2 linked regions of the Rattus norvegicus genome follow. The main gene of each other region encodes a partner of the protein of the gene in region 2 in a complex. Links are inferred from orthologs where the notes say so. Each region holds a gene or a part of one and is shown on either strand. Other genes may lie near its edges. The genes, in order: Cetn3 and Nup93.

Region 1 (4,608 bases), on a different chromosome or scaffold from region 2:
GATTCAAGAACAACAGGAATTAATGGTGGTGTAAAAGACAAGTCAGAAATGAGGACGCTCCAGCTATGAGACAAAGTCCCCATCTGTGATGGTCAATGACAACGAATAGCTAAGACACTGGACAGGAAGAACTCATGCTATGTGGAGGAGGGGAGCAGCAGCAAGAGAACAGTGGGTTAGGGAATGAGCTAAAGGAGGACCTCAAGACTGAGGCCAAAGCTTCAAAGTCTATTATTACTTTTAAATAGTCTATCATCTCGCTACATAGATTCTACCCCTATAATGTTAAAACTACTAAATGAACTTTTAAGGGTACTTAAAGAGATCAAAATGTGATCCTTCTTACTAGGCTGAACGTGAGAAATGTGTTCATAACCAATTTCCCCTTCCCTCTTTACTAGTAATTAAAGCCTTGGGTAGGACATTTTCCTTCTGCACGTAGCAACATTAGGCATCAGACAATTTATATCCTTTGTAACAGAGAAGAGTGTACTCTAAGAGTGTGCTAGTATTATCTTAAAAATTAAAAGTCAATCTCAAATGTCTGAGCAAAGTCAATGATCTCTCCATTTCAAAACTGTCAGTAAGAGTTCTCGCCCTAAAATCTTGAGGACCAGAGTTCAAATCCCCATCACTCATGTAAAGACAGGCATAGTTGTGGAGACAGCAGCGATCCCCAGAGTTCACTCTCAAGTGCTGAACTTCCAACTCAGGGAAATAGCCTGTCTCAAGGCAGTGGAGTAGAGTGATGGAAGATACACAGGCCCTATTCTGCCCACCACATGATACACAAGGGGATGTACAGGCCAGCAGGGGCACATGCATATGCCAAAAAATTTTGTTTTGTTAAAAATCTGAGCTATATCATCACACAGAAGAAAACAACTGTAGGAAGAACATGCTAAGAACTGTCCCTTTACTGGGTGAATGGAAAAGTTAGACTTCCCATCAAGATGCACTCTTACACTTAAATACAAGGTTCTAGAAGCCATACTCCATTTTTACTCCGTTTTCTTGTAGCACCTGTGGGTGGGCACTACAAACAGCCTCACAGTTCTGAAACAAGCTTCTAAAGTAGACTTTAAAGCAACAGGCACAAACGCAATTGAGTTAAACAAAAATGGATCTTAAATACCCTGTTACCTTTAATTCATGATAATCTATGGCTTGGTCTTTGTCGGTATCAAACAGTTCAAAAGCATCTTTAATTTCTTGCTTCTGTTCTTCAGAGAGTTCTCTTCGTTTTTTCCTTTTTGTTTTGTCTACTACAAGCTCACCTCTAGGACACAGAAAAATGCCTTTAGTCTACTTTAACCCAACTTAGGACAAAGAATCATTTTCTAAATTTCAACAGAGTAGTCTGGCACATAAAGAAACTGAGCCTAAGTTAACGTCCTGTAGTCCAAATGTACTTTTATAACCGAAATCCTAATCAAAGTTGAAAGCATCATACATATTATTCCTGTCATCTACCAAGAACATAAAAATAACCAAAAAAAAAAAACATACAAAAGTGAAATTCACAAATGACAACCAACTCACAATTACTACAAAAATCATCCATAAAACTTAAAAGATTACTTTAGCATTCTAAGTCCAAAATGTTTTTAGATTATACATTTCTAACAGTGCTTTGTGGTTTTATTCCACTGATATTAGCCAGGCAAACTATTAAAGGGCCTAAACATGCAAATACTAGGCGCCCAGAATCGCAGCATCTAATACTCGTGCTTAAGTCCACGACGTGATGTTTAAAAGTGTTTTAACTCTCACTTAACATGTAAACGATAGGTTAGACGTCTTCATTTAAAAACTCTGAAGTTTAAAGGAAATCTAAAAAGGGCACTTGGATCTGAAAATGTCTGCCTTAAGAGCTGCCAATGCAAAAAGCAGTCCAAATGTTTAAACGAGGATACGACACAACACGTGTATCAGCACGTTTTAAAAGATGGAAGCTTTAAAACCTCAAAATCTTAAAACTCGGCTGACTGTAACAGCGTCTCGTCAGGAACGCCCTCCGGGTGGACCAGACGTGGGAGATCAGTGCTGAGCGGGTGACGGTGGCAGCCAGGAATCTTTCTCACGTGACCCCAGCTCACACACACACACACACACACACACACACCCCCAGGCTAATGCGCGGTCACACACACACACACACACACACACACACACACTCGCCACACACCCACCCCAGGCTAATGCGCGGACACACACACACACACACACACTCGCCACACACCCACCCCAGGCTAATGCGCGGACACACACACACACACACACACTCGCCACACACCCACCCCAGGCTAATGCGCGGTCACACACACACACACACACACACACACACTCGCCACACACCCACCCCAGGCTAATGCGCGGACACACACACACACACACACACACACACACTCGCCACACACCCACCCCAGGCTAATGCGCGGTCCGGGGGCGCCTTTAAGTGTAGATGGACAGGGTGAGGAGCCAATGGGGAGGGGGGATGTCCGGAAGTGACTGGAGGGTGTCACGGAAACGAGATCCACCCAGGACGCCCAAAGCACAGCGTGCCACGGGACCCGGGCAGAAAGGCGAGCTCTCCTGTGACTTTCCGGAGGAAGCAGGCGGCCAGGCCCGAAACCCGCAGATGCGTGAGGGAAACCTCGCGAGACTTCACTCGGGGAGCGGCGCTGTGGGAGGCGGGGACCGCCGAGGTCTGATGCTCGGCACTCCTCGTCCGCTCCCGACTCGGCCTCCCTTCCACGCCCTCCCTGGCCCCTCTGGGGAACGGAGGCGCGGCCTCCTCGTTACCGACCTCAGAGCTAAACTCATTTTCTCTTCCGACAGAGGTGTTCCGCTCAAGGACTTTACCACGAGAACCGCTCAACAGCCACCAACCTCCACGGCCTCGGGGACCACCCACCTGACAGAAGTTTCTGGGTGCGATTGGCCGAAATTGCCAACAGCCGGCCCATTGGGGCGGAAGCGTCGATTGTCTTCTGTTTCCATTGGTCAGCATTCATGTCAGTCAAGTACACATTTCGCCCTGCTGTCTGTCTGACCCCTTGGATTGGCCAGATGCTTTCCTGAATCCTTTGCGCGCCTGTTAAGTCACCACGCGGGGTTCAGGCAGGCAAGGCTAGGCTCTACGGGTGACATGGTGCTGGAGTTCCGAGCACGCGTGCACAGCGTCGACCGAAGGAAGGGGAAGAAGGCACGGCACAAGCAGCCTGCTCAGACGGAGCAGTGATTGAGGAACCAGGTCTACAAAAAGATGTACAATTCTGGGTGGCTGGTACACCCGAGAAACTTAAATCTAAAGGTGATGTTCTCCAATCTTAGTTCAGTAACGACCAAGCTAAGCATTCTTCCCCGTACAGCTTTCCCAAGTGATTTTAAGGCAGACTGGATTAGTCTTTTCATTTTGTTGTTTTGTTAGGTCATGTACAGTGAGACTACCTAAACCATCCTTTTCTTCTGTGCGACTTGCAATGTATTTGTTTGCTTCTGCTCTTCACTTTCTAGTGCTGTAAACCTTGTGTGTGCATTCTATCTCCACTCCCCACCAAGCCTCTTGAAGCTTACTTCGATCACCAAGCTGCTAGACCGACTGTCCTCAAGGCCACAATTCCGTTTACACGAATATTTGTACCAAATGAAATATCTGGAACTTAGGTGTTCCATAAATACTTGATGCGTAAAACGAAGTCTTATTGTGGAAAACTTGGAAACTCCTGAGCTAACCAAGCAGTTCTTATAGGCATAAATACAATAAACTGGGGCTAGGTGTTAGAAAAGGGAAATACTATATCTAAATTTGTATGTGAAGGAAGGACACTGGGTAATTGGCTGTGTATGAGTTAAGCCTGGAGTGTAGATAGAAATTTGACTAGAGAGTTGGGATAGAACTAAAAAGTAATAGCTAAATGGTAGCATTCCCAAAACCAAAGTAGAGAAATGAAGAACTTGCTGGGCGTGGTGCTACATACTTTTAATCCCAGCACCCAATAGACATACAATCGGATCTCTGAGTTCTTTACATTGTGAATTCCAGGCCAGCCAGGACTAGTAGTGAGACTCTGCCTAAAATATAAAATTAAGTACTTTTATTTCTTAAATATTTAATGTTAACTATTTAGTGCACAGATATGAAGTTAAGTTAAACATTGTACAATTACCAGTGATTCATAAGTGACTGTTCTGGAGGCTGTACATAGATCATAGTGGTATGATAGGTAGAATAATAGCTAAGGCTACATCTTGGTATCCTGAAACCATAAATATGGTACCTAATAGGGGAAAAGATGTCTACGAGTCAAATTAGAATCCACACCTTGAGATATAATGTTAAAATGGGTCATGAGAGGGAACAGAGTCTAATCACAATGTCTAATTCTGACGAGTACAGGACTTTTACCCACCTGTGATCAGAGCCAGAAAAGACTTGTTAAGGCTCAGTCTGTTATCATGGTTTTGAAAACAGAGATGTAGAGAAGCATTCCCCTGAGTCATGGATGCTAGAAGCCGAAATCGAACAGTGAAGAATAATGATGTCCCTGGAAGCAGGAGTGACAGACATCAGGACAGTGATGAACACCACCAAATGCAAAAGCA
Region 2 (4,381 bases):
CAGAAGGCCGCTGACTGCGAAAAGTGAGTTCAGCGCAAGCGTGAGGATGCGAGTTTGAATCCCCAGTACCCATGTATAAAGCTGAATGTGGTGGCATCAATTTGACACCAGCACTGAGGGAGGGATGGACAGAGACTGGTAGATCTTGGGTGACTCATTGGTAAGCTGGTCTAGCCAATTGGTAGGCTCCAGGTTCAGAGAGAGTTGCTGTCTCAAAAAGCAACAAAAACATCCAACGCCAACCTCAAGACTCCTGACCTGGGACATCCACAAACACGCATGGGCATGCATCTCACCACCCCCAACACACACACACACACACACACACACACACACACACACACACACACAATCAAATGCATACAAAGTATAAAGCTACAAAACATTTCAACCTTTAGGTTATTTGAAACAGAGGAGAGAGAACTATAAGAGGCCATAAAATAAGGCAAAAAAACAAACAAACAAACAAACAAACAAACAAACAAAACTCCTGCATCTTTAAATTCTAATTCTTTCTCCAAACCAATTCTTTCTACTCGTCTATCTGATAGCTACTCCTGACTGATCTATGAGTGCCAGCGACAATTCTAGTTCCTCATCTTAGGTCCCCACAACAGTCAATTTAACCAGAAACCATCTGGCTCCCCTCTCCCCCGAGCCCAGCCTATCTCCAAGTTTACTTCTCATACCTCATAACGAGTCACACCCTCACCTTTCCTCTCTGCTCTGACCCTCATAACTTCCTCCAATTACCTCAACAGCCTAAAACTTCCCATTTCTTCTAACCCAGTCTTGCTGTGGCCAAAGTGGATATTCCAAAATACCTCCTACTTTAGACCATCAGGGGCACCTTCAACCTCAGGTTGTGACCTGGCTGCATGCTCTGTAGAATAGACAGTGCCATGCACCATCTTCGACTCCTCCCCAGCTGTACCCTGACAGTTCTCTATGCCTTAGGAAGCTCTGCATAGTTTCCTTCCTTCATGCTCCAGTCCATGTCAAGTACACTCACATCCTCACCAGACACAGGGAGCTCCTAAGCATACTGCCAAGTCAGAGGGCTGCTCTAACCTACCCAAAGGACTCCCTAATTATACTGAACGTTCTTCCCTAGTGGAGCAATTGCAACCACTTCTTCTCAAACATGTCTTCCTGTAGGGAAAGGTTCACAAATATTTAACCCTGAATCCTGAGCATCTAGCTAAGCCTGGCACACAACAGAACTAAAAATGTGTTTGCTAATTAAAATGACCAGTGACCATAACAGACTTGGGTCTTCTTCCTGATCTTTACTCTGTCACACACACACACACACACCCACACTTCTAAATGTAACTACCTCATAGGCCCAGGGGTTAGAGAGATGGCTCAGCAGTTAAGAAAACTTACAGCTCTTTAGAGGACCCCAGTTTAGTTCCCAGCACCCACATCAGTGATTTACAGCTAGCTGTCTGTAACTCTAGCTCCAGGGAACCAGACACTCTCTTCTGGACTCCATACATATATCCATATACATAAAAGTCACACAAGAAGGAGGGGGGAGGGGGACAGAGACCCCAAACTCACCACAGCTCCAACAGTTCATCTCTCATGGTGTGTGTGTGTGTGTGTGTGTGTGTGTGTATACACACACATACATACATATACACACACACATATATGTACATATGTATATACACTCATATGTATATATAATATATATTATATATATGATGTCTTCCCAAGAAACAAGCCTGTCTCATTCACCACCACATTCACAAGCCTATAATGATATCAATAACATTCATTTATTTGGTATTTATTGAGCACCTACTTTATTGTGTGCCAGACCCAGGTTCTAGGTAGGCGCTCATGTTCTACAGCGGAGAGACAAGACATAGGTCGAGTAGAACCTAAATATTGGAATACAACTAAGGCAGTGAAGACAAGGAGTGAGGAAAGGTTTACACTCTAAATGCCCCTCTAGAGCTGGCAAAACAGACATCCAACCACAAGAACTAAGACCTGAAGTCAAAGCATGTCTAGCAGTGGTAGCGGTGGGGGGGGGGGGGGGTGTAACAGACTCTGAGAATGTGGGTCACATTATTTAAAAGCCTTACAGCTCACTATGGGGGGGGGGCTTATATTATTGTTGTTATTATTATTACTATTATTACTAAAGCACTGACCTTTGCTTGTGCTGAAAGTCATCTAGGGAACTAGGGGTGGATGATGATGATGATGATGATGATGATGATGATGATGATTATTACTGTTATTGTTACTAAAGTGCTGACCTTTGCTTGTGCTGAAAGTCATCTAGTGAGGTAGGGGTGGGGCAGGGTCTAATGTAGACCAGCCTGGCTCCAACTCCCTTTGACAGTGACACCATGCCCGGCATGCTGTGATTTTCTTTTAGAAGGGACCCAATATATTTGGGCACTCCTTACAGAAGATAGGATACAGGGTACCCAGAAACAGAAGAGACAACCGGAGTGGCAACCATTAGCATCCTGTTGGATTATCCGTAAAAGGAGACAACAGTTGACAGGGGTTCGCTGGGTGGCCTCCCTTCACCCGGAAAAGCCATTCTCTAGAAGAACGCCCCCCACGACCCACAGAGGGCAGCCAGGCCTAGTGACGCCTGGCAGCCGTGGGTGGGCGTGGCGATAGTGCACCAGTAGGAAGGACCACGCTCAGAAGAGCCTAGTCACAGCACTCGGTGAGCTGTCGCCGGTCGGCGTGCCCAGCCAGCCACCACAAGAAAGGAAGCGCGAGCCTCGTGGCTACGAACATAGGATGGAGTTCGAGTTAGGCTCGGGGTTCTGCTTCGAGGCCAGACCCCGAACTCGGGCCAGGCCCAGGATCGGGGTCGCGTGGTCGCCCACGCCGCACATGCCTTACCTGGCTCTGCCGCCTGCTCGCCGCCAGCTCCCGGCTACTTCACTACGCCGCCGCCGCCGCTTCTCGCGCCGCTCGCCCGCGCTTCTTGATTGGCTGAGGCGGTCAGCTCCCAGAAGCCCCTGCGCGTTGCGCCGCCAAGTGAACTTTATGGAGATCCGCAAGAGAACACAGACGTGGGCGGGGCTGGGGCGGAACCAGGGGCGGAGCTGTCGCTACAAGTAAGTCAAGGGAGCTCCGCCCTTCTCCCGCCCACGTAGTTCAGGTTGACAGTACTTGAGAAAGCATTTCCGCAGTTCCCACAGCTGGACCAAACCAGAGAGCTCAGCTACTCGCTGTAGAGCTCTAGGCAAGTGCCTGGGCTTGTTCTAGGTGTTGGGGACACGGTGACTTCCGCAGCAGACAAGATCCCTGACTTCAAACGATTCTCAGCTTGGCCAGGGAAACAAAATATAGTGAATAAATACAGGAGTAATTAGGAGAGCTAAGAACAGAAAAGCAAATTAACTGAAGAAAAATGGTTGGGTTACCAAGGAAGGCTTCTCTCAGGTGACATTCTGACTAAAAGGTGGAAGCTAAAAACATGTTTTGGAGTTTTTAAGGGAAAAGTCTGTGTTTTGGCAGTCTGAACAAGCAAGCTAGGTTGGCCGCCTGCCCCAGTAGGCCAATTACAGAAAAGAACAGTGGTGAAACTTCAAAGAGATTTACTTCAGTGTAGCCATGTTGGGAAGTGGAACAAAGTGTGTCACTGGGATATATAAGAATCCTTCTGGAGGTTCTTAGTTTAGTAAGTAAAAAGAAATTTGAAAACAGACCCAGAAGGAAGACAATTTTGCTGGAAGTTTGAGAGAAAAATAACAGTACAGGCGGGTTGGGGATTTAGCTCAGTGGTAGAGCGCTTGCCTAGGAATCGCAAGGCCCTGGGTTCGGTCCCCAGCTCCGAAAAAAAGAAAAAGAAAAGAAAAGAAAAGAAAAGAAAAGACAAAACAGTACAGGCAAGCTACAGATCTCAGCAACTGCTGGGAGGAGAATGTGTGTGTGTGCGTGTGTGTGTGTGTGTGTGTGTGTGTGTGTGTGTGTGTGTGTGTCCTTGTGCCCAAGGGGGCCAAAAAAGGTCATCGGATCTGCCGGAGTGGTTGTGAGACATGGGTACTAAGAAGGAAACCCAACAAGTCCTTTGCAAGAGAAGTATGCTAAGCCATTGCTTCAGCTCCCATAATAGCGTTTACTTGTTAAAGAGGCATTTTTTGGGTTGCACAGTCTCAGACATGTCTAATCTTTCAGTGAAGGTCACCCACCTGACATAATGAGGTACATGTGAACACAGGCCTAGATAAAATTGTCACCATTAATAATTCTAGTTTGGTGGATGCCTGCCTGATAAAGTGTTCTATTAAGCTTTGCCTGATATGCTTAGGGAACCTAAACACACTTATCGGTCAAGGAAGCCCACAATAATTAGCATGTCAGCCGCATAGAACTTCTTTCTGCCTGCATGTGT

What was found.
Region 1: Nup93 (region 2) and Cetn3 share a complex: the UniProt entries of both Homo sapiens proteins name them as parts of the nuclear pore complex. The link is inferred for Rattus norvegicus from reciprocal best matches to the Homo sapiens genes NUP93 and CETN3.

What each region holds. Positions count from the first base shown.
Region 1 is NC_086020.1:13,823,397-13,828,004, reverse strand, and holds the start of Cetn3 (centrin-3), read right to left. Parts: upstream 2,915-4,608; 5' UTR 2,827-2,914; coding exon 2,810-2,826; intron 1,280-2,809; coding exon 1,144-1,279; intron 1-1,143. UniProt on the Homo sapiens protein: Plays a fundamental role in microtubule-organizing center structure and function. As a component of the TREX-2 complex, involved in the export of mRNAs to the cytoplasm through the nuclear pores.
Region 2 is NC_086037.1:10,790,992-10,795,372, forward strand, and holds the start of Nup93 (nuclear pore complex protein Nup93), read right to left. Parts: upstream 2,947-4,381; 5' UTR 2,884-2,946; intron 1-2,883. UniProt on the Homo sapiens protein: Plays a role in the nuclear pore complex (NPC) assembly and/or maintenance. May anchor nucleoporins, but not NUP153 and TPR, to the NPC. During renal development, regulates podocyte migration and proliferation through SMAD4 signaling.